4 linked regions of the Elephas maximus indicus genome follow. The protein of the gene in region 1 purifies or fractionates together with the protein of each later gene. This does not show direct contact. Links are inferred from orthologs where the notes say so. Each region holds a gene or a part of one and is shown in the gene's direction. Other genes may lie near its edges.

Region 1 (7,459 bases):
AGTCTGTCCTATAGGGTCGCTGTGAGTCGAAATCGACTCGATGACAACAGGTTTACTATGTGCTAAGCCCTATGCTAGGGGCTAGGGAATGCACATGTTTGATCAAGTTTTATCCCCCAAGTCCTATGAGATGAAGAAACTAATGAACAAAGAGGTTACATAGTTAGTGACAGAGCCAAATTTAAATCCGGGCCATTTGGGTCCAGAATGAGGAGCTCTGAGGCTGGAACTTCCTGTAACAGCCTCCTACTGTGCTTTCTATGTCCCATCCAGATCCTCACCATCCTCTAGGCTATGGCAGAGATACAGGAATGCCCCACTTTTCTAAAGTTCCCTTTATGCCAGTTTGCTTTTATGAAAGACCTACGTTAGTACCTGTTTTCGCTAACCGAAAGAAATCAGAAGAGGATTTTCGCTTTCATGAAAAAAAAAAAAAAAGGCAAAAAGCAGAAATAGCTTTCGGTGTTTGTTTTGCAGCAAACCCTTACAGAGGTAGCGTGTATTCTGAGCAGTGAGAGTGGCGTCACCAACTCCTTCCCTGGGAACTACACTCAGCATCAAGTAGCCATAACCAGGTTACAGGGGCTTCTACCATCACCACCACCACCTCTCAGCCTTCCGGTATGTTCACTGTCTTCCCGATTCTGCTAAGTGAAACTACACCATACATTATTTCTACTTTATACAGGCAGTGTACTTGTCATATCATTCCTGCTTTTACTACATGTTAGTGTTATTTTAGGCTTTATATGTTATTTGGTATGATTTGGTAGGTTATTTTTTGGGTCTGGGAATGTGCAAAAAATTTTCCATAGAAGTTAAAGGTAATTGCTTCTTTGCTTTATGCCATTTTAGCTTACAAAAGGTTTCACAGGAACACTCTTCTTTGGAATAGCAGGGAAAACCTGTATCTTTCTGGGTATGGAAATGTTATCATGACACTGTCCAAATTAACATTAGCAGCTCTGTATCACTGACTGAATAAAGTCCAAATTTTTTAATTTGGTTTACAAAATGCTTCATGTTTCTGTTAAAATCAGTTTACGAAGTATTTGACCGCCCACTGTGAGCAATGCAAAGTGCTAACTGCTCCAAAAAGAGTAACGTACCAGCCAGGGGCTACTACCTGAAACCCAGACACTGTCCTTCAGCCAGACTGACCATATGCAGGCTTCATATAGCAACACCCCAAAGATACAAGTATTTGCAAGTGGCATATATGTTAGTTCCTCTGCCTAGAATATAGTTGGCAAAATCCTAACCCAACCAGACAGAATTTGCTCCCTCTTCTGAGTTTCTGCACCACTATGTTCAAATTACCTTCAGATAACTAATAGAACACTGGTCTGTATCAGCTTCCAAATGAGACTGTGAGCAACTCCAGGGCAAGGCTGCCCCTGGCCATCAACACGTGGCATGCAGTAGTATGCCATCCTTTGATAACTGAAGAAAGAATGAAAAATTTCTAACTTGATGAGAAAAGGAGAGGAATGAGATACAAAATTAGGAATGTGAGCACATCAGTGGGCTGAATTACAAATGGGTTATTCTACTTTGGTTCAGATTTGGCCTACATTTGACCCCTCTGGGAAAATGCACATTTGTGACTTGGACCAACTAAAAAGGCAAAACGTTGTTACTCATGGCTCAACAAAGCTCTGACAAACCAAAGAAGATACCAGATTCCCCTCTTCCTTCTTTACTTGCCAAAGTACATTTTCCAAAGTGGGGGAGGAATGAGGGTTGGAATCAAATCTACCAAAATAAATAAAATTGATCTACTGAGATCCAGCTCCATCAGCACTTAGTCACAGCACATGCAAGAGACAAATGAAAATCTATCCTGGGACGAAGGCCAATTTACATTAAGTACTATTGATGCAAGAATACGGAATTCTTAAAGTGAAGGCAGTGCCAATAATACATAGTTCCCAACTGTTTTCCCCTGCAGAACTGCCACTGCACTTGATCTCACCTCGTCTCTGATCTCTGTGATTTCAAAAGAATAACCTACACAGTGAAGCCCCATACAGGAACTGACTTTAGCTTCTGGAAGATGTGAACATCAGGATGTACAACCTTTAATACAAACTGAAACACCATAAGAAACCCTACATAGAGGTCAAAAGTCCTTGGCTTAAAACGTGGAAAAAAGCTTCGAAAAATGAGTGGTGTATTTCCTAAACCGTGCTTTGCACGCAGCTGCTTCCAAATCAAGATCTGTACTTTGAAATTCCCACCTCGAAGATGGCAAATCGTTCTCCCACCCCCTGCAGCCTAAACCGAAAGGTAAGAAGAGAACAGGCAACAGGCTGGGACAGGGGTATGCGCTCTCCCTGTCTCTCCCTTTCCAGGGGAACCAGATCGGATGCGAAGGCAGCTCGTACCACTCTCATCCTCCCCTATAGCACAGGTACGGGAAATAAAAAGCTCACCCCCACCTCTCCCCTCCCTAAAAAAAGCAAACGACGCCGAGATCAGTAACGCAGCGGCCGAAACCACCCAAGGGGACCAGCCCGGGGCCGCCCGCCGCTCCAGCCGGCACCGCCGCAGGGCATTCGGACTTCCGTCCCGGACAAGCGCGGCCGGCCCCCACGCCGGGTCCGCTCGAGGGGCCGGCAAGTGCGGCCCAGGTCCCCTCCGCTACCGGGCGAGCGAGGGAGCAGACCCGCGGAGGGCGCGGCTCCACCAGGCAGCCAGAGCGCCGCCGGCGAGGGGCGCGCCGGGAGGGGAGGCTGGGCGCCGTTCCCGGTGCGGCGGCTCCCGCAGCTCCCTGCACGCGAGCCTCCCGCCCGCGCCAAGCGCGCTGGCACCTGAGAGAGCGGACGCGGCGGCGGGCAAAGTTACTTACTGGGAAGCACGGCTGTCCGGCGCGCTCAGCTCCCGGCGCCTCAGCCCCGCGCTGGCTCCCGCTCTCCGCAGCCCGCGGAAGGAGCGGGAAGCGAGCCCGGCGCCGCTTCGCCGGGAATCGCCGCCGTGGCCGCTGCCTCCAGCCGCCGCCGCGGATTTCCTGGCAAGAACCAAACTCTGGCCAAGACTTCACTTCTCAACCGCCCCTGCTGTCTTCCCGGGGGCGAGCGCCGGGGCCGAATCGCCCAACCTGACACGCACCGGGGCCAATCCACGGCCGCCCAGGGCGGGGAAGGGGCGGGCCAGACGGCGGCTCCACCTATCCGAGTGCGCCGGGGGCGGGTCAGGAAGGGGCCGTCACTCACGGGTTAGAGTGAGCCCGCTCGCCGCCGTCCCTCCCCCACCGCGTCAGGGTTGTCCCCGCCGCCTGCCTGATTTCCCTGCTAAAGACGCGGTCGGGAAGTGTCTCAGCACGAGTCCCCGATGCCCGAGTGCCGCAAGGAGAATGGGACAGCTGGGGGAGAGATGGAAATATAGGGAAATCTGGAGGGAGGCAAGAACAGGTGGTGCAGGAAAAAGAAATGTAGGTGTGCTGGGAGAGGACAGCTGGGGTGTGGACAGGGCCTGACGGGGGGCAAGGGAGGTGCTGGGAGCGGAAGAGTGGGAAGGGAGAACCGGTTATTGACGAACAAGAGCACCTGAGCGGACGAAGAGACGCGAAACGAAGGAAGAAAGCGGGCGGAGAGCTCCGATTCCGGGTGGTGAAAGGTTGCAGAGGCGGGGGCAGGGCACCTGGGAACAAAGGTGAGAGGGAGGTTCCGCAGGTGAGGTTGTTTAAGGAGCCAAAAGGATAAGGGAGGAAAGAAGCCCAAAGCGGGGATGGACGTATTCTAGGGGTAGAAAGGGGGAAAACCAGTTTTCTTGCAAACTCTCACTCCCCCAAGATAAAGGCAAACGCGTGTCCTTTGGCCTAATCGAGACGTTGTGCAACTGCAAGATCTCCGACGAGACAAATACTGTCTGAAACCATTTTGTTTGAAATTCTTCTCTTTCCACATTACCTCCTTCCTTTCTTAAAAAGTGTATTGATAAACTTAATGCGATCTACAGAGACCTCAGTACCCGCTGAGTGCTCCTAGGGTCGTCCCATGAAAGCCCCTTGAGGGTTGGGGTGCCGGGAGGGGCCAGCCTGGGAGCAACACTATCCTCATGGGTCTAACAGCAAGACAGAAAGAGGCCTGACTCTTAAGAAAGGTGATTAGGGGGCGGCAGGTGAGGCCCCGCCCCCTTGGCCCTCACCTGGGGGAAGGTGCCCAGGGCTGAGCTCCGGCATACACCGGCCTGTATCCGGCCTCACTGTAAGGCCTTCGCCGGACCCCACCTCTCCGCCCCTCCCGCTCTGCGGACAGGCTGCCGGGGGAGCACCAGGTGAGCAGGGCGGGCCTCGCGCCTTCGCCCCCCTCGCGCCGGGGGCGGGGCCGGGGCGGAGCCTCTAAGCTCCGCCCAGCGGCCGGGCCCTGCCGCGCCGAAGCGGCTCCTCCTCTCTCCTTCCGTCTCCCCTCCTTCCGTCGGTCTTTCCTTCCTGCTTCGCCTGCACGTTGCGCGGTATGGGGCAGAGCCTCCGGTCCGCCAGCACCGCCTGAGGAGCCCGGAACCTGCCGCCGCGATGGAGGACGACCAGGAGCTGGAGAGGTAACGGCCCAAGAGGCGGGCGAGCGGGCAGGAGGAGCGGGCTGCGCTCGGGCCGGAGAGCCGGTGGCAGGAGGCGCGCGGCCAGGCCGGGGCCTCGGCCTCCGCGCCCGGCCTGGCAGGATGGGCCTGACCCGGGGCTCCGAGAAGAGAGGAAAGGGGGATAGACGTGGACGCCTGGGTGGAGAGGGGGCCCGCCATGGGGAAGAGAGAGAGGGTGAGAGACATGGATGGCTTGAATGGACACGCTCCGTAGACTGGTAGCTATCAAGGAGGGGAGACAAGTTATGAGACCAGAGCAAAGCCCCCGAGCTGCTCCTCCCGCCTTAGAACAGCAGGAATAAATAAAACTAACGGGTGACATTCCGCACCAGGCCACTGTTCCCGAGTGGATGGTATTGGGGTGTTCGCACAGACCCAAGCAAGTCCTGTGTTTACTGCTCCCGAGCTTCTCTGTGCAGACTGTTAGTAAAGCCACTTCTCTATGTGCTGAGTTCTTTTTCTCCCTCCTGCTTGACTATTCTCAGACCTTCCATTCCTCTAGTTTCCTTACCTCTTGCAAATGGAAGCCATAGCTGGGCCTGCATGTCGATAATCTGTGGACTTAAATCTGACATTTACACTTAAGCAGTATTTTTTTTCCTATCACTTTCGGTGCCCTCTTCATCCTCCAGCAGGGCCCACCCTATTCTAATCTTATCTCTTTCTTGTGACTCTACCAAAATAATATTTTAGCAAACATTTATGCTTGTGCCTTAAGAAGGCTCTCCTTGTGTCCCTATGGAGGGTCAAATGGAGTAGGGAGAAACTGGAGGCAGTAATTTAAATATTGGTTAAATGAATTTGCCGAGGCAGGAAAATAAGAGACAAATAAATAGTTCTGTGTGGTTGGAGTGGATTAGAGTAAAAATGTGTTGTAATTGTGATTGGTAAATGAAAAAAAGCTAGTCATGAAAACTATTCAGTATGATCTCATTTTTATAAAAAATGTGTGTGTAGAAAAACACAAGGATCGAAGACCTCAGTGGCTGAAGGCGAGAGGAAGACTGCCCTGGAAATGGTCCAGGCAGCTGGAACAGATAGACACTGTGTGACATTTGTATTGCACGAAGAGGACCATACCCTAGGAAATTCTCTTCGTTACATGATCATGAAGAACCCAGAAGTGGAATTTTGTGGTTACACTACGACCCATCCTTCAGAGAGCAAAATCAATTTACGCATTCAGACACGAGGTGGTCTTCCAGCCGTTGAGCTGTTTCAGAGAGGCCTGAATGAGCTCATGAGTGTCTGCCAACATGTGCTTGACAAGTTTGAGGCAAGCATAAAGGACTATAAGGACCAAAAAGGCAATCAGAAATGAGTCTACATTCTAGCCCCTTATGCACCATATGACAAGGATACTCTAGGATATTTTCTTCACGATCATGCACAACCCAGAAGTAGAATTGTGTGATTAAAGCATGATCTAGCCTTCAGAAAGGTGTGCTTCTAGCTATTGACCCATTGCAGCTGTTGGATTCCCTGCAAGTATTTTTGTATTCTTTTGAATAAATTCCCTCTTATTTAAACTGGTTTGAGTGGTTTCTGTTATTTGTAGCCAAATGATACCCAAGGATGAATTTTCTTTTTCTTTTAGCTGAGCCAGTACTGATAGTGAGGAAACTATAAGGAAACCAGGCCTTAGACAAGGACTTTGATCATAGGACTTAAAAGGAGTACACATTCATGGCTGTGATTTGGAGGAGGAAGGGCAGTAGAACATAGCCCCAGATAGACTGGTTGATTGAAAAAAAGGAAAGGAAAGGAAAATTTGGTTTCTTGATAGATATATATATATAGATATGTATGTGTGTATATATATATATTTAGAGAATTGCAGCCTTTGCAGTATTGGGCAAGGTTGGGGGATAATTTGAAAGAATTTTATGAGTTTTGCTTTCCCATGAGAGTTTTAGGTGGTGTCAGGCTCCATCTTTGTGGGAGCTCTTATAGAATAGATGCCAGTTTCTTGCTTGAATTTCAGGATACTGATAAAATATTTAGTCAGAAATGCCCTAAGTATAAAAGTGATAGGAGAATTTGGAAATGAATAATGGTGGTGGTTGAACAACAGGATAAACATAAATAATGTCACTGAATTGTACACTGAAGAATGTTGAAAAGGCAAATGTGTTGTTACATATATATTTACCATAAAAAAAAGAAAATGACCTAAGTTGGCCAAAAGGTTTTTATTATATCAAACTAAACTCATTACTGTTTAGTCACCTCCAACTCATAGTGACCCTATAGGACAGAGTAGAAGTACCCCAGAGTTTCCGAGGAGCATCTGGTGGATTCAAACTGCCAACCTTTTGATTAGCAGCTGAACTCAATCACTATGCCACCAGGGTTTCCAAGGAAGAGAAAACTGAAATGTCTAGGTAACCTTTTCAGTTCTTAGATAGGTCTCTAAGAATAACTCAGGTTTACGTAGAAAAAGCATCGTTCAAGAGAAAGTAAGAAGGAAAATTCTGTCTAGGGAAAATAACTTTTCCAGAAAACTTGAAATATTAGTGAATCCCATCCAAAATCTGTCCTGTCTACCTCTTCAGTTTGTCTCTTGTGCCTGTCCCACCCCCGCCCAGCTCGACTCTTCATTGACCCTAAATACATGTCAACCCTTGGACCCAAGCACTCTAGCCTCCATCCCCCCCTCCCCCGCCGCAGTGCTCTTTGGGGCCTTTATGTTGTTCCGCTTCCTGGAACACTTAGTCCCTCCGTACTCTAGGTCAAAACTTACACATCAGACTCCCCATCCTAGTTTGGGTGCTTAAGTGCTTTCATTACACCCTATGTTTCCTTGTCTTAATGTTTATTGTGCTACTGTTAGTGCTTTTATTTGTCTGTCTTCCTGGTATACTAACTCGTGATCACA
Region 2 (7,530 bases), on another chromosome or scaffold:
CTGATTTTCATAGGAAGAAATAAGTAAAATTAAAACATAATGTCATTCCATTATGCTAAAAAGTCATTTAATCACTGTTATTGACTTACTTAGAAACTGCAATAGCTTTAACTTGTATTTTTCCATCAGGCAAAGTAATAGGTTTTGTATACTTATATGTATTATTTTCACCGTAACCGATTCTCTTTAGAAATTCAGGTTTGCTGCCATCCAGGGTATAATATATGTTGACATCTGGGGTGTCTGAAAAATATAAAACAGGATAACTGTAATTGGTTCAAAAGTAGCCAGTCCCTGAGGTATGCCTATACGTCAGTTATTTATGGAAAATTTATACATCTATTATTTATATTATAAAAATGAGTAACAATAATTAAATTCTTCCTCTATTCCATGCATTGTACTTTGTTATGTTTTATTTGGACTTGGTAAATGATTCCTACATTTTTTGGGGAAAAATTTTAAAGATAATAAATTCATATGATTCAAATGATATCTTGAGTATCCCCAAGTGCGCATCAGTATATATGTACATATTCTTACTTCTCACTCTCTTTTTACACCAATTGTGGCACACCACATCCTGTTCCACACACTTCATTTTTCATTTTAGATTATACCTTGGATATTGTTCTATATGGGCACATAAAGGGCCTCCTCATGCTTTTGTATGGCTGCACCATATTCTCTTGTATGAAAGAACTATAAATTAATCAACCCTCATTTAGGCTTTCTTTTTCTTTTCTTTCTTCTGGCCATTACAAGAATTATAACGAATATCCTTGTAAAGAGCTCCTTTTGTAAGCACAGCTGTAAAACAAATATGCGGAAGTAGTACTGCAGGGTCCAAAGATATGTGCATTTGCAACTTTGATTAATATCACCAAACTGCCCTCCACTGAGGAGGAAACAATTACATTCCCACGGGAAATGCATGGAAGTGCCTGCTTACCCACAGTCCACCCAAATAGTGTTATCGATTTTTCTTTTTACCAATCTCCTAGGCAAACAACAAAAAGTAGTATCTTGTAGTTTTAACTCACAATTCTCGTATATTGAGTAAGATTCATTCATTCATTCAACAAATATTTGCTGAGTACCTAGTATGTGCCAGGCACCGTTCTAGGAGAGACACACAAACAATAAACCAACAAACAATGCATACTGTCAGGCGGTGAATAAATGCTATGAAGGAAGGTAAGGGGGACAAGGTCTACTCAGAAAGCAGGTGAAGAGATGTGTAGAAGTATCTTTTCATATGCTTAAGAGGCACCTATATGTTCTTTCCTATAAAATGTCTTTTCACATCCTTTGCCCATTTTCCTATTGGGTTATTCTTCTTTTTGTTATTGAATTGTGGAAATGTTTTGTTTATTAGAACTTTTCAATATTAGAACATTTGGATACCTTATCATTCTTATCATCATTTATCAACAACCACTCCACTTCTCCTAAGACTTACATGCATATATATTGAAGTTTTATTTTTGCTTGAGAATTTTAAAAAATCACATTAGCCTTTGAAATAAAGCCGGACATAGTATAATGTAGCATATTGTTAACTGCAACTCTAGGTCTAGGAAGCACAGGGCTTATAACATAAATACAGATAAAAAGTTTTTATATGTTTCAGCTATTAAAATATACAGTTGGAATTTCGAAGACTTTTTAATAAGGGCATTCGTCCACGTTTTATCTATAAAACTTTCCCTTTTCCTTATGTTAATTGTTTGTGTGTGCGTGTGCAGAAAGAGCCTGAAGACTAAATATTACCAGGAAATATATTTGCCACTTTATTTCTATAATAATATTTAAGATTTATTTTGGCATCACTACGTGCCAGGCCTTGTGCATCTCACGTATATTTCAACTCATTTAATCTTCACAGCAGCTCTAACTGGTAGATGTCATTATCCATATCTTACAGGGAAGAAGCTGAGACTGAGAATGGCTAAGTAATGTGTCTAAGGTCATTAGAAACTGTCATGCCAGGGGTCAGTCCCCAACATGTCTAAATTGCAAGCAGGTCAAATTTATTATTCTAGCAAAATAATGGGCATCCTGGGAAAGTTTGGGGTTCGACTGGGACATCTTACCTTAGCTGAGGTAAGCTGAGGCATAGCTGCAACATGTACTTACCCCAAAGAAAGGTTGGTCAAAGCCAACTATTTTAATCTAAGTATACATGACTCTATTAGCTATCAAAATATCACACTGTTCCAAATTTTGGAAGATTTACAAATTTCCCAAGGTACTGACTATAGAGAGCATGCAAAGAAGTAAGTGAAGAACCAGGTAAGTGTAAAGAGTATGACAATGTTATTTTAAATGATTTCAAATACATTTGATTCCTACCCGATTTCATTTCCAAAAGTGTATTGTTATCAATTTCATGTTTGGCTTTTCCGGGCGGAGGCACTCGCAGTGGTATGATCTGAGGGACACACACTGAACCAGCAGTCATTTTTTTCCTTACTTTAAAAAAAGAAAGTGGATAAAAGTAAATTCCAACGTGTATCTATATTTGAACAAAAAAGTGGAAGAAAAGCACTTCATTTAGAGTGCAGCATAACTAGTAACAAAAAAAAAAAAGAGAGAGAGAGAGAGAGAAACAGAGACTACTGTTAATACAAATATTGAACCAGTTGCCATCAGGTCAATTCCAAACCATGGGGACCCAGTGTGTGTCAGGGTAGAACTGTGCTCTACAGAGTTTTCAGAAGTAGACCACCAGGCCCTTCTTTGTCGAACCACCAGTCTTCAGTTAGCAGCTGAGGGATTTAACCATGTCTCTCCTACAAATATTAGTCAATTTTCAATTGAAGTAGTTATTACGCTTCAGCTGTATTTTTGCTGTTGAAGTCTTGTGTGGAGCTTTGATTATCTGAACACTCACCTCACTTCTGGGAAAAGAACACGAATCAACAGGACCGAGGGATGCGCAAATTAAAGGAATCAGGCAGAACAGAGACCATCACTAATGATCTGCCCTGAGTTCCCACTTGATCATCATCACCTGTTCCAGCCTCCTGTAAGTGTACAACCTCTCTCAGCTTTGGGACGAGTCATCACAGCAGAGGAACAGAAATTAAATCTGTATGTAGCACGAAATGTTAATTTAGAACCAACTCCTTGGGAAAAGCCAGGTCTTTAGCGCTACAGTTGTCACCACAGTGGTTCTTGCACTTCAAAGCTGTAAGGAAACTTTAGAAGGACTGTAGAGTATAAGCTGAAAGGAACTTGGCATGGATATTAACGGTTACCAACAAACACAATCTTCCATTCCGTCTATTGTACTAGCTACAAATATGGAAGCCTTACTGATCTTTTTCCTAGGGGAAAGTGTCATAATTTTTAAAAAATGAGGTTTCAGAAGATAAAACCAATCTCCATATCACAGCAACCATCTACAGCTATGCAATGCCTTCTGAAAATTCAATGATTGTGGCTACATCCAGATTACTTGATTATAATTTATATATTCGATTATAATCTATATATTCATTCAATTTTTACAGCCCACTTCTTGCACCCTCAGTTGATTATTCAGTTTTCTGTGTCCTTATGTAAACTTATTTATCAATTTGTGGTTAGGCATTTAGGCTATTTTTAGTTGCTTTTTACTTCTGGTGGTTGCGGAAGCTGCTCTGAATATCTTTGTAGCCCAAGTTTTGACACAGGCTCTATTACCAAAAGTGGGATAAATAAATTTAAGGGTGAACTTAATGCTCCAGGTTGGAGGCCAAGAATTTAAACCGCAGATATTGACAGCAGAGTAATAGTCCCTACAGAAGTGCTGCAGGGCTTGCGGGGCTTGCCCATCACCATATTTCCATTCAAGTAAGATGCAGTTAAAATAAAAATAGTTGAGAAATCAGTTCAAAATACAACTAGTTCGAGAGGAAGTCATTCGCGTGCCGCCACAGCAGCTGCCCTTGGGAGGCTGGGGCGCCCAGCAGGCCCCACGTGAAAGAGACCCAAAAGGACGCCGACCAGCGAAACCCAAACAGCAGCGCTGAGTCAACAGCACCCAACACCCAACTCCCTCGCCGCCCGGATCCAGTACCCTGCAAGGTCCCCGCCCCCGTCCGTCAGCTGCAGCCGAGGACGCCCGCATCCTTTCGGCGGGAGTGAGGAAGGTCCTCCTGCTCCTCCTCCTCCTCGGGCCACCCAGCCCCCGTTCGGGCCCCACCGAGGGACCTCCACCGCCCCCAGCCCGTCTCTGCTCTCTCACCTCCTCGCTCCCGCTCCGCGGCGGCGACCCGGGTTACCACCGACGCCGCAAGCCGCGCCCCGCCCACTGAGAGCGAGGCAGGTGATTGGCGGAAAGCTCGCTCCCTAGTAACCAGCTCCGCCCCCGCAGCGGGGCCTCCACGGGGTGCGCCCCTCCCGCGCCTTTGCCGGGGCTTTACTTAGGCGTCCGGGTATATGCCTTCACGGAGGCTGGAAAGTGCTAAAAGCTGATGTCGCCACGTAGAATGGAGGAACCAGTCTCGTTCGTCCGACAGGCATGACCATTCGGTAAAGCAAGCAGAGCGTAACAAACGTAGAGGCGCCGGCGAGCGAGGCGGCGCAGGCGTGACTTGGCCGCCTAAAGCCGACCGACGAGCAAGGACTGGCTGCGACACGAGGAAGAAGGCCCCTTGTCCCCCGGCGGGGAGCTGTCCACCGTCGGTCCCCGGGTTCGTGGGCGTTTTCTTCGGCGACTCAGTGCTCGTCTTCCCCGCACGGGCCCGGATCTGCTCCCTCATGGCTGAGGTGAAGGTGAAGGTGCAGCCGCCCGACGCGGATCCGGTCGAAATAGAAAACAGGTAAAGCAAGTCTAGGTTCCGGGATCCATGAGCACACGTGAAGGGGCTTGCGGGGGTCTGGACCCTCCCCTCCCGCCCCGGATACCAGAACTCTTAAGTTCAAAACGAGCTTGACAGCTTGCAACTCTGTGTAGCTGACTTTGCCCTGATGCTGTTTGCGAAGTTGGGATGATGCCTTCCTTCCTACGTTACGGTGATCAGTGCCAGAAAGGACACCCTCTGGGTTCGGCTGTAATGCTTGGGGATACGTGCACCGATCCAGGATCTGTCTTGTCACTAAGGGAACTCCCGGAGCAGAACGTTCGAGCGCAGCGAGGGCTGCACTTTGTGATTACTTCGGTGCGTTATTGAACTTAAGATCTCAGGACACCTAAAGTCTGTCCTAGTTTTACATTCTCTGGCAGCGCACTGCTGTTTTTAGATTTTATAGTTTCATAAGACCCTCAACTTTCCCAAACGGTTATATATAACACAGATGTGATGAGCCTGTGATGAAGTTAAGATTTGGGTTTACGTTTGTTTGGTAAGGATAATCCCCCAAATAGTTCACAGTTATGGTACGATGCCATAACAAGTTTTGGCTTCCCACCACAAGTGTCTGGAGTTGCCTTCTCTTTACAGGCTTATGGCTATCGAATGCACTACAACTTAATTTTGTCACAGTTATTCCATCTGAGAAAATTGAAGCCTCAGCTTTTTTTTCCCCCCGTGTTTTCATTTAACTTTCATTCTATTTTAAAGTTGAAATAAGTGAGGGAAAGAAGTACTCCCCTTAAACAACAACAATAATGTAAATGTGTATTTAGAAAGCATGTGTCTGAATTTCTTACATGATTTGATTTGGAATCATTATAGAAACAGATTATCTGCCAAAAGTGGGAAAAAAAAAAGGACAATTTCAAACCATCCTGCTTGTATTTCCCCTCCTGCCTCTTGAAACAGGCAAACATGCATAATATCATTAACGCCTTTGTTCCTAGGATTATAGAGTTATGTCACCAGTTCCCTCATGGAATCACAGACCAAGTAATTCAGAATGAAATGCCTCATATAGAAGCCCAGCAGCGGGCAGTGGCCATCAATAGACTGTTGTCCATGGTAAGATGAATTCAAACTCATGCATGTAATTACTTACCTGTCATGGTTGTCAATACTTCCTGTTATGTAGCCATAAAATCAGAAGGTGTGTTCGGTTGTAACTGATACAACTACAAACCGTAAAACAGCACAGGCTACCTAAAGTGAGGGAAGAAGAAATTATAGGTTATTTTTTGGGGAGGGGTTACAAGAGGAATGAAAATAAGTAGTACTTTGTTATTTTTTTTTTAACTATTGTATTTTTTAATCTAATCGTCACTAAGGTACATAAGGACGTGAAAGCATAATAGTCTGTGCTCACCTTCTGTCTGCTTCTTACTCCTATTGTTGGGCCCTTCCTTCCAGCTTTCACAGAGCCAGTTCATCAGGGTATCAATCTTACCCTGGGCATTTCAGGAAACAGAAATGAGCCCAGTTGCATCTCAGTAGTCTTGAGCCTTTGGAAAGAAGTGCTGCCTCAGGCTCCAGTGAGGTAGCAGAGGGTTGTTTCAGTAAAGCCCTTCTCCCTGCCCTTACCTCTTTTTCTGTCCTCCTTAAGAACCTGGGACCCTAATGCTGCTCTCCTCCAACTGTCCAGAATCACCCCACCTACTAGTACCCAGTGCTCTAAGTCTACCTGTTTCTTCTCCCATTTTTCTATCATCAAAACTCCCATTTCCTGCGAGCATTTTTATTGGATTTTTAAGGACTGTGGATATGGAGACAGGTGAGCCTTCTGTTAAATCAGTCCCTTCAACCTTCTACTTCAAGGGTGGACAAACTTTTTCTGTAAAGTGCCAGACAGTAAATATTTTAAACTCTGTGGGCCGTGTGGTTTCTGTCACAACTACTGATTCTATGGTTTTAGCAAGTAGCCATGGATAAATCATAAACAAATGCATATGGCAGTATCCCAGTTAAACTGTAATTACAAGTTCTAGCCCAAGGGAAGAGGAATGTTGGTATTTTTAGTCAATTCTCCATGAAGGTCTTCAGCTCCAGGAAAGGTAGAGGGAGAGCTTCTGGGAGGTTGTGGCAGTGGATGGGGGCTGCAGAGATGGCGAAAGACAGGAAGGTGCTAAGGATCATTCTCAGGAAGGAAAGAGCTGAGAGGGTGATCAAAGGACAAAAAGAACATTTCCCACTGCCACAACCTCCTCTAATTTCACAAGGGGGAAGGAGAATCAAGGTGTTGAGCCCAAGGCTGATTCTTATGAGGCAGAGGTCAGACATGTCTTCTGTCTCTGCCATCTTTGCCAATTGTGATACCAACTGTCCCTCCCACAGCACTTTTTACTTCTCTGCTGAGTTCAACAATTCATTGCGGTGGCCCACAGAACTCACAGATAATACTCAAAATTATGGGGTTTATTAAGGAAGTAACAGGTTACAATTCAGGTTCAGGAATGCTCAGAATACAGTTCTTTCATCAGGACAACGTTTTCTTAGCCATGCCCACAGGCACGCCTCTCTCTGGCCCCTCGGCCTCTGTTCTGCTCAGGCAAATGTTACAAAGCTCTTTTAGCTCTGCAGATAAGTGCACAAAGGCACCGCACTCTACCAGTAAGCCTCGGTCCAAAATCACTAGCTTCACTAAGTACCCAGAGGCACTCAGCTTTCTTGCTCCATGAGCTAGGAAGCC
Region 3 (7,927 bases), on another chromosome or scaffold:
AATATCTCTGCCTTCACTTGAGCTCTTACCAGCTGCTAAAGTTTTGGCCCCATGCAAGGAGGATCCTTTTATTACAATTGACAGATACCAGGTAGCACTAGCTTTCTCAGGAAAGGGGAACAGGGATGAATAGGGATGCCTCCAAGGGTGGGAATCCCACTGGACTTTGGGAAGAATCTTGAGCTGGAACCAGAAAACCATCAGGATTTCTCTGACTCTTTGCTCTTCTCACTTTATCATTTTCTCTTTTTCAATGCACTGACTTTTTCTCTACTTCTCCAACCTATGTCACAGAATATTTAAAAAATCCCCAAAACCAAACCTGTTGCCATCTAGTCAACTTGACTCATAATGACCACATCGGACAGAGTAGAACTGCCCCACAGGGTTTCCAGGGAACAGCTGGTAGATTCGAACTGCCATCCTTTTGATTAGCAGCTGAACTCTTAACCACTGTGCCACCAGGGTTCCACCACAAAATATGGCCACCCCAAACCTCCCCTTCTTCCTAGTTACAACCAGTCTCAGAGGCTAACTCCAACACTTAACACCTTCAAGTTAATAAATCAACAACTCACAATGTCTCAGTTCAGATTCTCAGAAGAAAATGTGATTGGTCCAACCTGAGTCCTAATAACCACCACACAACCCTCTTGCTATGGCTGTGGGGGCAAGCACGCTCAGCTGACATCCACTCTCTGGGCTGGTCGGGCAATTCCTAGAAAAGTGGTAATTGGGCAGATTCCAGCAATAGTCTTGCACTGAGAGGATCCAGTCCTAAAATACCATGACTAGATCAATGCTTCTATTGACTTCAAGGACTATTTCTCATTTAGCTTTGTACCAGTCACAATGCCTTGGCTGTGTCCTCCATCGATGGTTGCTTCTGTACTTTTTTTTTCTATTAATTCCTTCAAAAGCAACAAGCTGTCCCAGCACAATGAAATGTTTGCATGCCATTACTTATGTTAAAGGTAAATACAGAAATAAAAACCAGGCTAAGGAAGACTGGAAGAGGAGAGATATCAAATACCCAAATGTTAGGAGTGTTCGTGGCAATCTTCTTCCAAAAAAAAAAAATCAAACATTTAAAACCCTATGGAGCACAGCTATACTCTGACACTCATGGGGTTACCATGAGTCAGAATTAACTTGGTGACAAATGGTGGTGGTGGTCGCGGCCAACAGGATCATGGCCCTGAGAAGTCTAACATAGTCAACACAGAACTGGAATTCTATTTACAAAAGTGTGATTTATATGACTTTCTAGGGATGTGTCCAAGGCATCGCCAGCCTTGGCCTGCTTGGAATTGCTGCCTAATTTACCCGGTGAGTACTGGGCTAAACATTGACTTGACTTATTGTGTTGAGACAGGTGGTCGTGGCTGTTTGGGGTCTCCTGCCTTCTTACTAATTTAACTAATTGCTGTCGAATCAATTCCAACTGACAGTTACCCCATGTGTATCAGGTAGAATTGTGCTCGATTTCAGTGGTTAATTTTTCAGAAGCAGATTGCAAGGCCTTTCTTTTGAGGTGACTCTGGGTGGCCATTACAAAAGGTCCTTCTTTGTTTCTGGTAACAATTTTGTGTTAAAATCTGATTTTGCCTGACATTTTCTAGTATAGCCACTACAGCTTTTTTGCTTATGGTTTGATTGATACATCTTTTTCTGTCCTTTTAAGCTATTTGTGCCTTTGAATCTGAAATGTGTGTCTCTTATAGACAGCATATAGTGGGATCTTGTTTGTTTTGTTGTTATCCATTCTGCCAGTTTTGCCTTTTGTTTGGAATATTTAATCCATTTACATTTAGTTCATTTACATGCCTCTTGGAGAGGTTAAAGAATTTGTGCTCACTGTTTCCTTTGTCTGGAATGCTACGCTCTTCCCAAAGCTGGCACCTTCTCAAAATTCAGGACTCTGTTGACTGCCACCTCTTCAGAGAGACCTTCCACGACTACCCCTTCAAAAACAGTTCCCACCCCAATCACTCCACCATCATAATACTTTTTTGCTTCATAGCACTTATCATAATTTGATTTATCTTTTTTTAGTTTACTGGTGTGCTGTCAGTTTCTCCACTAGAATGCAATCTTCATGAGACAGGGGCTTTATTTGTTTTCTGTTGTATACCTAGAGCCCAGAACACACCTCAAATATAGTAGGAATTCAACGAATATGGGATGAATGAAGAAATGAACTTGCCCCAAATCATGCATCAAATAAGTGGAAGAGCCAGGACTCACACCCAGGCAGTCTGACTCTAGAGCCTGTGCTCTTAAATGTGGTCCCCTGCCAATGGCAGTGCCGTGGTTAAGCGCTTGGCTGCTAACAGAAAGGTGGGCGATTCAAACCCACCTAGCCCTGTTCCAAAGCAGAAAAGACCTGTTGATTGGTGATCTGCTTCTGTAAAGGTTACAGCCTTGGAAACCCTAAACGGTTCTACTCTGTCCTATAGGGTCACTTTGAGTTAGAATCCATGGCAATGTTGTTTTTTTTTGTCTGTCAATGGCAAGATTCATATATCAGCATTGCAATGGGGGGTGGGAGTGGTAGAAGGCGTATATCGTGACTTTCACCATCAAGGATGGATTCTGATTTCTACAGACCTAGGAGCAGGTTCTGGAAAGTGTACAGGGCTTTGAAGTCTCATAGATCTCAGACTGAATCCAGGCTGGGGCAGAGAAGAGAGGCCGAACTCAAAACCTCTAATATCATTGCCACAACTGTGCTGTCCTTAGCCCATTCTTCCTATCACTACATGTGTCTGCCACCAAGGCTGGAGAAGGAGCAAGCTGAACTAATTAATGGGGGAAGGAAGAGCCACCAATGGTAGAGGGAATGTATAGAGTAGGGAATAGTAAAGGGGGCAAAACTCAGATATGAGAGAAATTTCAGATTTTGTACACCAATAAATGTGAAAAATCAAGTGGAACGCTTTGTTTTCCAGGAAACTTACCAAAAAATGACTCAGGATAAGGTAGAAAATCTGGAAAGAAATGGAGAAAAAATCATTGAAGGTCATATAATTTGATAATATCTAACACAATGGAAAATATGCATATGATCCTGCAATTCCATTTCTGGTACTATATACTCTGGAAGAAACCCACCCACATACACAAGAAGCCATGTGCAAGAAACTTTACTGTGGTATTGTATGTGATGTGAAAATTTAGGAACAATTTAAATGTCCATATTCATAGCTTGGAATGAATTAAATCTATATGGATAATAATAGACCTCAAAAACATAATGTTGGAGTAAGAAAAGCAAGTTGCAGAATGATACTGGTACAATGTGGTGCCATTTATGAAAATGAAAACATACAGAAAATCATACTATATACTGTCCATGGAAAACCACACTGTATATTGTCCATGGAGCTTTTGTATATATAAAAACCCATTGCCATTGAGTCAATTCCAACTCATAGTGATGTATAGAACTGCCCCATAGGGTTTCCAAGGCACATCTGGTGGATTCAAACCACCAACTTTTTGGTTAGCAGCCATACCTCTTAACCACTCCACCACCAGGGTTTCCATGTATATATAATTTTATATACTCATAAAAGTATAAGATTAAGATGGACTGAAAGGATACGATGAAATTCATGATAAGAGATAGAGCTGGGGGCAGGGGAGGAAGTTTGGGATGAAGTGGAGGTCAAGGGGGGCTTTATGTTTATTGGTAATGGTCTAATATATTTTTGCATGAATTTTTAAGAGACAACATATTCGTATCATTACCTGTAACATTTAACCAAAAGCATATATGTAGAAAAAGATTTGGAAAGAAAAAATACCACAATATTAACAGTAACTACTTCCAGGTGGTTGTATGGAAATATGGTTGATTATTTTTTCTTTTACTCTTTTTGTATTCTGAAATATCTATATGCACCAACAATAGATAGATATTTAAAAATGCATAGTCTGGTTTTAAAAAAAGCCAATTGCAGATCAATTCGAATACTATTTATGTAAAATTTCATGCGCAATAAAAGCAAAGCTATTTTCTATGGATATATATACTTATTTATGTGTTTATGTATATATAAAATAGTTTTGTTTTTATTGTGTATGAAATTTTATAGATATGTATATGTAAATTTCCATATGAATGGATATATATATAGCCATATAAATTAACAGAAAACGAAATGGAAGGATATATATTTAATAATAATAATTACTTCAGCAGAGGGGATTAGGATGGGGGTCAAAAGTCAAAGGGCATTTAAACCTTATGTACAAAGGTTTAATATTTTGCGATAATTCACGTACTATTTGTGTAATTAAAAATTAAAATACAAAATTTTTCAGGAACAACCGCCCAGACCACGTCCCCTGGTTTGCCCATTAGAGCCTCCAGTTCGGGTTACTGCCAGGAGTACCTTTTCTTCCGAGACACGTAACTAGCGTCGTGCGGGTTACGCCTAGGTTCCCCGTCCGAGTTAGCTGAGCATGTAGACCCTTAAACTCTTTTCCGCCCTAAAACCTATTTGGAACAAGTACAGGTCTAAATACCAGAGCAAATATTTTTTTTAAAAAGACGTAGCATGTTGTAAATAATTATATTGGGCTCAGATACAACGCATATTAAATGAAAATATAAAAATATGTAACGATTTCGAGAACACAAAACACATTCGAACATAATAAGTAGTATTCCGGAGACACCACACGCTATCTAGGTAGCGTGGCCGAGCGGTCTAAGGCGCTGGATTAAGGCTCCAGTCTCTTCGGGGGCGTGGGTTCGAATCCCACCGCTGCCAGCTGAGTCTTTTGTTCCTTTAGCACACGGCTTCGTTTTGCGCACGCGTCAGCGCCACCTTCCGTATGAATGGAGCGGCGGAGGGGCGGGTCTGCGCGCATCGGGGCGGGGCATTGTGGGTAAGAGGAAGCGCGGAGTCCGCCCAGCTCCCCCCACGTGTCCGCCGGAGTTTCTCCATCAGCAACATGGCTGCTGCCTGATAGAGAGCCGGGTAGCCACCGCCTCTGCAGCCCGCGGGTACCTGGGCCGTTGCCGCCGTCCGCGTGCGGCCCCCGCGGAGAGGTGAGTCCTGAGTTTGCTGCACCCGGACCTGGGCTTGAACCGGGTGCACTCTCGAGGTAGGCCTGGCCTGAGCTCCGGAGTAGGCCGAGGAGGCCCGGGCAGTGCCATGCCATGCCCAGGGTCGGGGTCCTTTCGCGACCCGGGCGACGAGGACCGACAGCCTGCCCCAGAAACCAAGGCCAGCCGCGGGCTCCGACCCCTCGGCGCGGCCCGGGAGTAGGGGAGACCAATGCCGAGACTGTCGGCGGTGACTCAGGGACCAGTTGCCTTACTCCGCCCGGGTCGGGCCGGTTTCCTCCAGGAGCCCCCGTCCGCAGGGAGCCGGTGTCCGGCCGGCTTGTCGGCTAGAAGCAATGGCTACTTGGGGGGCGTGAGAAGGGGACTTGCCTACCCATGAGGGAGGCGACACCCATTGGACAGTGTGTCTCGGGACCGGGCGGCCGGCCCTGATGGATGCGTGAGAGGGTACCCCGAGCCTTCCCGGGCCCCTTCCTCGCACCTGAAACAGATTAACCGCTGCCGAACCAGGCCCGGAATTCTTCATCCATTTATTCAGGCTTCTCGACGGCACTGGGTTTTTGGGTTATTTATTGAGAGCCAACTATGCTGCAGATACGACCCTGACCATTTGATCAAAGTAGGTGACAGGAAGCACAAGTAAACCAGTAAATAAACAAGGTCGTTGTGGCCTGTTAGTTTTAGAATTGGGTTTGGGGGCAGGAAGAAGAGATCTTAGCAACCTCCACGGTTTCCTTGTCCGTGAAATGGGCATCATAGAAATTTCTACCTCCTAGGGTTGTGAGGACTAAATAGGGTAAGACAGGTAAACCTTCTGTATGCAGGACTTGATTTGTGGCTAAGTATCAGACCCTCTGACATTGGGAGAAAACATGTTGCCAAATAATAACAAACCTTTCCAGAGGTTACATTTATTACCTTACTTATTCCTCACTGCAGCCCTCTGGAGGAAGGCACTTTTATTATCCCCATCTTCGGTCTGAAAATAGCGAGGGAAAGCCAAATTAGACCGTTCACAGAATGACACCGGCTGGCAACGAGCAGAGGTGGGATTTGAACTTACGTAGATCCAGGTTGAGAGTCCAGGCTCTTACCCACAACGCTATACTTCCTATTGTTGGAGTAATGTCTAGCATAGTGGTTAAGAATAAGAAGCTTTGACATCAGCTAGTTTCCTATTCTGGCTGTGCTGCTCTCTGCAACCGTGACCTTGGGGAAATTAGTCTCTGAACTTCAATATTCCTTCTTAAATGTGAATGTTAAGTCTTGACTCACAGGTTTGTTGAGAAGATTAAATGAGAATATATGTAAAGTCCTTAGAGAAGGGCCTGGCACCTGATAAACGCTGGGTTAATTACTCCTTCTACCTAGGCCAGGCCAACTCATCTTTTACAGAGGTGGAAACCTAGGTAACTCAGAGAGGGGAGATACCTTGTCAAAGGATACACAGCCAGTTAGAAGCTGGTAAGAAGCCAGGCATTGTGTCTACTGGCCCTGGGGCCCTTTCCCCTTAACCCTTATGTGCCCAATGCTACATATAGTGACCATCAACATTTGCAGCTTCTGGGGTTTATTGGGAACCTGCTGTATTATTGATAGTGTGTGCTGTCACAAGGCAGGGACCTTTATGACTGCTTGAAATTGAAGAAATGGGTGTGTGCTGCACATTACTGTTTTTACAGGGTATTGAATGAGGTGTCTAAGTTTTGGGTAGAAAAAAGAGAAACTTTGAAAAATTTTATTTGTTACACATATGTACCAGTAGGCCCCAGTGGGGACTCTGGGGTATAACTAGTGTACTTTATATGTACCACTAAACACTTAGGGCAGGCTTGTGGGACGGGGCAAGAAAAAAAAAAATCCATACTACTGACCAAAAATTCAGATACACTCAATGATACAGCATGTTTCCATCAATGAAAACGCAGGGTATTAACAAAAAATTCAAAGCAGAAAGTAACTGGGTCACCAAAGGGTTAACTCCATTATATTTTGTCACCACCACCCCTACTCCCTTCATCCATCAGCTAGTGATTATTTGGAGTTTCCTCTGCTTTTCTGATTGACTGACAGGTTAGATTCCTGGGTGCAGTGTGGGTGTACCCCGCCATAGCCTTCAAGTACCTCCTCTGCTCTAGGGCCCTCCTTAGCTTCACCTGGTTGTCCTGGTCCCTTTTGCATTTGTTGAGTAGCTCCCTGTTGGGGTCAGAGGCTATTCTAGTTTCCTTTGCCCAAGCCCATGGAGCCGCTGCCAGAGAGTGCCCTTGTGGCCACAGGACACCCCACTGAACCCGAGGTGGTCACAGATTTACTGCTTCTGTGAGAGCTTGGCTTGTGGTGGCTGGAAATCCTACCTCCCTCCTACTGCTAGTAAGCATCAGAGGTGGGATTTGAACCTGTGTGCTCTACTGCAGTTCAGTTCACCTGTCTGTACTCAAGTGCCCATGATGCCCAAACCATGAGGCTGCCATTTCTGGATGGGGCCTAGTTAGGCTCACTGGGTTGACAGTCTGTGGCTGCTTGCTTTCATGCGTTCAGCTCACTCGGTTATTCTTTGTACTATATTGAATGTCTACTCTATGCCAGGCACTGTTCTAAGTACTAGGAGAATAGCAGTGAATTGGGGGAAGGGAGGAAGCAACAACAACAAACAAAAAACCCAGCAATAACTCAGTGAAGTTATATTTGAGGAAACCGAAGCACTGCGAGGCCCTCGTGGAACTTACATTCTCGTGCATAAGACAGGCAACACATAAGCCAACAGACCAAACCAAACCCATGGCCATCGAGTCGATTTTGACTCATAGCAACCCTATAGGACAGAGTGGAACTGCCCCATATGGTTTC
Region 4 (7,646 bases), on another chromosome or scaffold:
AGAACACCGAAGTGTCTAAGTTCCCAAGTCAAATTTTCAAACAAACATTTTGTAAAAATTCTGCCCATATTCCATGGTTTTGTATACTCAAGCTTTAACTGGAATTTCCTCACTGGCAATGGGTTTGGTTTACCTTACTAATCTAGAGGAGACCCCCCATAGATTTTTGCATTTTGGATCACTGGCTAAATAGAGCTCCCTCCACCCTGCCTCAACCCTGCCTCAACCCGGTTATGTATGCATATATATGTGTATGTGTGTGTATATATATATATGTATATATGGTGTATGTGTTTTAATGATTGTTAAACAATAAAGTGGTATACCACAATTCCCTCGTCAGCTACCTCACCATTAATTCTTTCCTTCCTCTGATCGAATCTGTCATTTTGAAATCCTGCCTGTGGTAATTCTGGAATCTTTGCTCTCAGTAGGTGTGTGGTACTTTTCACTCTTCCACCCATCTACAAAGCAGCCAATTCTGAGAGCTTTCACAAACTTGCTCTGACTGACAAAGATGTGCTTTAAAAGGGGAACAACATGGCGCTGGGTGTTTTTGTTTAACATGGTACAACCAAACCCATTGCCATACAGTTGATTCTCACTAATAGCGACCCTATAGAACAGAGTAGAACTGCCCCACAGGGTCTCTAAGGAGCGGCAGGTGGATTCAAACTGCTGACCTTTTGCTTAGCAGCCAAGCTCTTAAGCACTGCCACCACCAGGGCTCCATATTGTACAACAGTGGTTCCCAAACCCTAAATGCACAGGAGTCACCTGTGCAATCTTGTTAAAGTGCAGATTAATTCTGCGTTTCTAACAAGCTTCCAGGTGATGCAAATGCTGCTGGTCTATGAGCCACACTTTGAGTAGCAAGGCCATAGACCGCGACCCTATATAAGGAGAGGCCAGGGCACTTCTCTCAAGAATGACATTTGACTTTGTGTAGCCACTCCCGCCTCTTTGTCATCCCATAACTATGATTTAACTGTTCATGTGGTCATTCAACCCATCAACACTTACAGAGAATCTGCTATCTGCAAACCCTCTGCCAATTCATTTCAACCAACATCTTTGAGTTCCGGTCCTTGTGTGAGGCTCTCAGGATTAATCACGATTAAGACCCTTTCCTTTCTGTCACACATTCAACATTAACTGAGGGTCTACTCTGTGCCAGGCACTGGTCCAGGAGCTGCAGCTACAGCAGCGAACAAACAGGCATAAATCTTTTTATTGCTTAACCCCCAAATTATTTTTATTGTTTTAGTATTTATTGTTAACCCCAAATAAATTTAGCGAGGGAACAATCAGGTGGGAAACAGGCAAATAATTAGAACTAAGCTTATTTTTTCCTCTTCTTCCCTCACTGCGCCCCCCCCCCCCCCAATAAATCTAAAAGCCATCAAGAGGAGTCAAGCAAAGGTAGATTTCCACTCAGAGCAGAAGGAGAGCCTGCAGTGGTCTAGAACAGGGGTGCTGGAGCCTAAGGAGTGTGAAAAGGCATCCATGTGGAAGGGTGGCCAGGTAAAGAGTGTCTGAGCCCAGCTAGGTGTCTCAGTTATCTAGTGTTACTATGAAAGAAATACGACAAGTGGATGGCTTTAACAAACAGAAATCTATTCTCTCATAGTTTAGGAGGCTAGAAGTCTGAATTCAGGGTGCCAGCTCCAAGGGAAGGCTTTCTCTCTCTGTTGGCTCTGGGTGAAGGTCCTTGTCATCAATCTTCCCGTGAGTCTAGTACCTTCTCAGCACAGGGACCCCAGGTCCGAAGGATGTACTCCACTCCAGGCTCTTCTTTCTTGGTGGTTTCTTGCTCATTTCTCTCTTTTGTATCTCATAAGAGATTGACTCAAGATACAAACTAATCCTGTAGATTGTATCCTGCCTAATTAACATAACTGCTTTTAATCCTGCCTCATTATCATAGAGGTTAGGATTATCAACACATAGGTTAATTATATCAGATCACAAAACAAAGGACAACCTCACAATACTGGAAATCATGGCCTAGCCAAGTTGACGCACATTTTTGGGGGACACAATTCAATCTGTGGCACTGGGCAGGGGTGCAGCTTGGCTGGGGTTATCAGAGTCTGAGCAAAGTGAAGAGGGGATTCATGCAGGTGGTGGAATGGCGTTGGTAATGGCCCAGTACAGGGTGTTAGAGCCTGAATGAAGTAAGAAGGGCATCCATGTCAGGTGGTGGTGGTGGTCATGGTGGTGGCAGGAGATGATTACTTACAGAGGATTGATCAAATAAGTGAATGTATTAAGGCTAACTGGAACCAGGTTTCTCAGCGTGAGAGAAAAAAACAAAAACAAAAAACCATTGCCGTCAGGTCGATTGCGACTCATAGTGAACCTATAGGACAGAGTAGAACTGCCCATAGAGTTTCCAAGGAGCACCTGGTGAATTTGAATGGCTGACCTTTTGGTTAGCAGCTGTAGCTCTTAACCACTATGCCAAGGGAGTTACAAATATGAGACGAAAGAAAACTAGAATGAACCCTTGTGGTGTTGGATTAGAATCAGAGGTCAGTGTGAACTCATGATTTTCAGTATATATATACAGATCTAGAAATAAATACAGTTGTAAGCATTAATACATGTATTTCCTAATTTGGCCAACCAAGAGGGCCTGGGAGCAGTGGCATGCCAAAAGCAAAATATATCTAACACACAGATCTTTGTTTCTAAATTCTATTTCTCAGCAAAAATGTCTTAGAGAAATTTCTTACGGCAAAAATTTCTTAGAGAAATAGCTGATTGCAGGGTTGGGGCAGGGAAAGTACAAGATGAACTGGGATACTTTGTTGTGCCAGGAGGTAGGGATATGCTCTAAAACTGATGGGGCATGTCAAAAGGACACAGCAGGCAACTCGAAGGGATTTCCAATGGCACGATCTGGAAACATTTCAACACAGAAACAAATAATGATAACAGCAGATTTTAATCTACTGAATAAGATAGGAACCAACAAGTCCAAACTGACATAAATTAATAAACTGAAAATGTGATGAATGAGACACTTGCATAGTCAGTCTCTAAGTACCTTCCACAAAATACTAACTACAAAGGGACAAAGAATAACTTCGTGGTGGAGATGTCTGGTTGACACTACCTTAATCAAGTGATCAAAGTTAGTATCACTAGTAATGGAGTAAATCGAAATTATGTGCCACCTGATAGAATACAAGAAGAACACAAATAGTTCTGCCAAAGATGTATAATCTGAAACTAATCATTTGGAAACATTAGATCATTTAGAAACCCAGAGGGAAGTTTTACAAATCACTGGCCTGTGATCATTAAAATGGTCAAAGTTATGAAAGTCAAAGAAAGACTGAGCAACTGTTTCAGATTATAAGAGACTAAAGAGCTATAACAACTAAATGCACCACGTGATTGTGGACAGGATCCTTTCCCTACGAACAAAGTTAGTGCGACCAATGGTTAATTTACATGGAGTGTGAGGATTACATGGAAGTAATGCATCCATGTTAATTGTCTGGTTTTGATGACTGCATTGTATTTAGGGAATGTGTTTGTCAGTAGGAAATACTATACAGTCTTCAGAGGCAATGGAATTCAGGTTGGCAGCTTACTCTAAAATGATCAGGGCAAAAAAAAAAAATTACTCATACTTGCTCGCAATATTTCTGTAAATTTGCGATTGGGTCATTATAAAAATGTGGCAACTGCTCAGGTAAAGGGAAGCTGAAGTGCTAGGTTTTTTTTGGAGGAGATTGGGTGTCTGTGTAGGGGGTGACAGGGGTGCTAGGGACGGCTTCTTAAGGCTGAAACCTGAACATAGTCTTGAAAGAAGGCGCTTTGGAGAACCGAGAAGAGCCAATCCGAGTTCTTGCCCTTCAACAGTACCGTCTTTTGACTGGCAAGAGGAACCCCTGGCCTGGGTCCATGCTTTAGAGGCCCTGCTCTGGTAACTTCCCTCGGGGAGCGGGGTGGAATCCTCAGGGCCAAGGGGACATGCCCATCAGGTCCACCTCCCCTCTTAGGACACAACCAAGAATTCCCTGCCCAAAAGCTCTGAGCCTGTTCGCATTTCCCCCTGATCCTAGTGTATGCTCTCCTAGCTCATGGGGGAGGTGCTGGCGGGGTTGTGGACGCAGCTTGGACTAAAGGACTGGGAGCCCACATGTGTAGATGGCAACTCTTAGAGAGTGGGTAGCTCTCCGCCAGCTGCCACATTTAGTTGTAGCTGGAGGAGGTCCAGTAGGAGAATCCTAAGTTTGAACCTAGTTTTTCAGGTCTCAGGAAGATATATTTGTCAATGTAGAAGAAATAGATCATACTTTATCCAGACCATGCTGAGCAGCTGGAAACCAAACACGAAGCACAGACTGAAGCTGCAGACGTTTGGGCGCCCTCAGCCCTAGTCCCACAAAACCAGTATAGTGCAGGGGTACGGTGTGCCGGAGACCACACCTGTCAGCGCCGAGCTGCTGCGCTGAGTGGCCGGGGCAGCACGCCGAGCTGCTGCGCTGAGTGGCCGGGGCAGCGCGCCGACACGCTCCGGGGAGGAGCGTGCAGGGGGGAGGGCGATGTCAGGAGGGGGCGGAAACACGCGTCTCCGAGCGCGCGGGGCGGTGCCTCACGAGGCCACGCCCTTCCGGTTCGGCGCACTAGGCGGGATACCACGTGTGACCTAATGCACCCGGTAGTCCAGGCTAGTTCAGCTTCGAGTTGTGGCCGCTAGAGGGGCGAGATGGCGGCGGAGGTGTTGCCGAGTGCGAGGTGGCTGTACTGTGGGGAGCCCGACGGTAGCCAGAGAGCTGTACTCGGTAAAGACTGCGGAGCTGGAGCGGAGTTCCCTTTATCCCACTTCCGTCTCTTGGTACCTCTCCAGTCTCCCGCGCCCCGCCTGGCCCCCCTCCCACCTGGGCCAGTATCCCTCTAGTCTCTACTCATTGGGGCTCATTCAGGGCTTCAACGTCATCCTGCCACCCTGTCACCACTCCCAGCTGGATGGGGACATCCCTGCCACACCCTCCCCAGGGCCGTGCCCAGGACCCTTTAGTCCCCTCATCCACCATCTCTCCTATCTGCCCCATTTCCCTCTCTCCTCTGGGTAGAGAGCCCCTTTGTTTTTCTAGAACTGGACCAGACCTCCTCTGTAACCTCTATCCTCCCAGTCATTCCCTCCTGTCACAGGCTCTCCCGGGGGCTCCTCTCACCTGTTCATCCCTTCTCAACTGGGTCAGGACTTCCTTCCCCATCTCCATTCTTCGAATCACTTCCAGTGACTCCCCGTTTCCTCTTCACATACACTGTGGGTCCCCTTCTCATTCTGCTCTTGGCTGCAACCTTACAGTCCAGTTCTCCAATGGAAAGCTGCAGAATCCAGGCAACATGCACTTTACCTTGTACAAGAATAAAGACTCCACAAACCCCAGGAAGAGGAGTCAGCGAATCTTAGTAAGTCATGGTTGCCAATTACCTCCACTCTGCAGACCTCAGGAGGTCCCTTGGGTGTGGGTGGCTGTGAAGGGAGTGAGGGAGGAAAAAAGGGGGGCAGCAAATGGGCCTTTAAAGAACTATTCCTCCCCCCGCCCCACAGCTGGTGTGGGGCAGGCTTGGCCATCCAGGTTTGGAACTTTTGGAGAAGTGATGACGGTTAATTCATTTGTTAATTCAACAAGCATTTACTGAGCACCTGCCGTGGCCCTGTGCTGTAACCTGTTGGGGGTAAAGCCAAACTAGACCTGGTGCCGCTCTGAGGGAGCTCATACTCTAGAACAGGGTTTCTCAACTGCAGCACTATTGACATTTGGGGCCAGATAATCCTTTGTTGTGGGCAGCTGTCCTGTGCATCACAGGATATTTAGCAGCATTCCTGGTCTCTACCCACTAGATGCCAGTAATACTCTTCCCCGCCCCCAACCCCCAGTTGTGACAATCAAAAATGTCAAACATTGCCAAATGTCCCACTGGGGTGGGGGACAAAATTGTCCTGGGTTGAGAGCCTCTGCTCTGGAGGGAGAGGTGAGAATTGGATGTGAGGGACACTCATACAAGTAGACAAAGCTCAAGGCCTAAGGGAGAGAGTACAGGGCAGAGTGAGCTCAGAAAGGGGAGAACTCTCTGCTTGCCAGAATGCCTTTTTGGAAGAGGGTTCACTGGAGCTGAGCCCTGAAGGATGGGGGTAGGAGAGACTGTCAGGTGAGATTTGATATTCCAGGTGAAGAGGATAGCAAGAACTAGTGCTTGACTGTGATTGGGGTGTGAATTAACCATTTCCGTGGTCCTAAGAGTACGTAAAGAGTAGTCATGGTAGAAGTGAACAAAAAGGATAAAAGAGAATTTGGATTCCAGGCCAAGGAGGTTGCCTGCAGAATCACCTTGTTGCATGCCTATGTATATGTGTTGGGAGCCCAGGGCCTTTCCCCCAAGTCCTGTGGTGCACCTCGGCCAGGAACCTTTAATATGGTTAGAACTCAGCACCTTCTGGGGCTTACCTTTCAAAAGTCCTCTTGCCCTTTCCCCAGGGGTACCCCAGATTCACTTAGAGATAGTGGGGCTGTACCACCTCCCAGTGGCTCTCTAGTTCTAATCCACTGTGGTTCTGCATTCTAAAGCTTTTGCAAATGTATAAAAAGGAGACAAGATACTTAGTACCTTTTGACATTAAGTGGAGCTTTTTTCCCTTCTATATTTTAGGCAGCTGAAACAGACAGACTTTCCTATGTGGGGAACAATTTTGGGACCGGAGCCCTCAAATGCAACACTTTGTGCAGGTAGTGATGGGGACGGGCAGCATTAAAGGTAATGGGGAGGGTAGAGGTGGTGCCACTGGCATTTTTGTTATCAGTCTTTATCATAGGGGCAGTGGGAGAACGTAGGGAGGTTAACAAGTCCCTGTGTTCCTGGACCCAGGGATCCTCATACCAGCCTGTTAATATTCCTGAAAAAGAGAGATGACTTCTATTTGTTAAAAATTCTTAAACCGTGTTAATTTGTAATATTCTTTATATCTGTCTTATTCCAATTGACAGCTGTCTCTACAAATTTGGAATGTGTGATTAGTAGACCAGACCTTGCCTGAAGTTTGCCTTGGAACTAACTACAAGAAAAGGATTTAGTAGTGTTGAAGGCTCTGGGCTGGGAAGGAGGGGCCCAGGGTTTCCATCTAGCTCCGTGGTAGTTGACTGAGCGACACTGGAGAACTCTGCCTTTCACTGACCCTTGTCCTCCCTCTCTGTACAGTGAAGATTGTCCAGCTGAAACAGGCTACAATTCTCAGGGGCTGGCATAATGCAGATGGGGTCCCTGTGATGCTACCCAACCCATAAAAAAACCTGTTGCCGTCGAGTCGATTCCTATTCATAGCGACCCTATAGAACAGTAGGACTGCCCCATAGAGTTTCCAAGGAGCGCCTATTGGATTTCAACTGCCAGCCTTTTGGTTAGCATCTATAGTTCTTAACCACTACGCCTCCAGGGTTTCCTTACAGTGAACCACAAACAAGGCCCTGTCTGAACTCCCACTAGACCACATCCTGATACAAGTCAGATTAATGCACATATGCTTAAAAGTATTAACACGCTGCATCCCCTCACAAAGATTCTCTAATTCAGAGTGGTCTTCTCCCCATAATCAGTATGGTTTTACTCATATGTGCCTCCGT

The links.
Region 2: the proteins of protein POLR1D-like (region 1) and POLR3F purify together in Homo sapiens (affinity purification with mass spectrometry; 3 studies listed by BioGRID and IntAct, with this or other methods). This does not show direct contact. The link is inferred for Elephas maximus indicus from reciprocal best matches to the Homo sapiens genes POLR1D and POLR3F.
Region 3: the proteins of protein POLR1D-like (region 1) and POLR3E purify together in Homo sapiens (affinity purification with mass spectrometry; 3 studies listed by BioGRID and IntAct, with this or other methods). This does not show direct contact. The link is inferred for Elephas maximus indicus from reciprocal best matches to the Homo sapiens genes POLR1D and POLR3E.
Region 4: the proteins of protein POLR1D-like (region 1) and POLR1E purify together in Homo sapiens (affinity purification with mass spectrometry; 3 studies listed by BioGRID and IntAct, with this or other methods). This does not show direct contact. The link is inferred for Elephas maximus indicus from reciprocal best matches to the Homo sapiens genes POLR1D and POLR1E.

The regions. Positions count from the first base shown.
Region 1 is NC_064841.1:59,713,429-59,720,887, forward strand, and holds the start of protein POLR1D-like, read left to right. Parts: upstream 1-4,457; 5' UTR 4,458-4,516; coding exon 4,517-4,542; intron 4,543-5,538; coding exon of another isoform or gene 5,539-5,902; exon of another isoform or gene 5,903-7,459. Other genes in the region: POLR1D (DNA-directed RNA polymerases I and III subunit RPAC2), read left to right, coding at 4,517-4,542, 5,539-5,902.
Region 2 is NC_064843.1:59,142,026-59,149,555, forward strand, and holds the start of POLR3F (DNA-directed RNA polymerase III subunit RPC6), read left to right. Parts: upstream 1-4,522; 5' UTR 4,523-4,749; coding exon 4,750-4,811; exon of another isoform or gene 4,812-5,150; intron 5,151-5,791; coding exon 5,792-5,909; intron 5,910-7,530. Other genes in the region: DZANK1 (double zinc ribbon and ankyrin repeat-containing protein 1), read right to left, coding at 90-243, 2,356-2,464. UniProt on the Homo sapiens protein: DNA-dependent RNA polymerase catalyzes the transcription of DNA into RNA using the four ribonucleoside triphosphates as substrates.
Region 3 is NC_064830.1:82,340,908-82,348,834, forward strand, and holds the start of POLR3E (DNA-directed RNA polymerase III subunit RPC5), read left to right. Parts: upstream 1-4,924; 5' UTR 4,925-5,062; intron 5,063-7,927. UniProt on the Homo sapiens protein: DNA-dependent RNA polymerase catalyzes the transcription of DNA into RNA using the four ribonucleoside triphosphates as substrates.
Region 4 is NC_064827.1:46,343,648-46,351,293, forward strand, and holds the start of POLR1E (DNA-directed RNA polymerase I subunit RPA49), read left to right. Parts: upstream 1-4,644; 5' UTR 4,645-4,726; coding exon 4,727-4,802; intron 4,803-5,332; coding exon 5,333-5,436; intron 5,437-6,678; coding exon 6,679-6,755; intron 6,756-7,646. UniProt on the Homo sapiens protein: Component of RNA polymerase I (Pol I), a DNA-dependent RNA polymerase which synthesizes ribosomal RNA precursors using the four ribonucleoside triphosphates as substrates.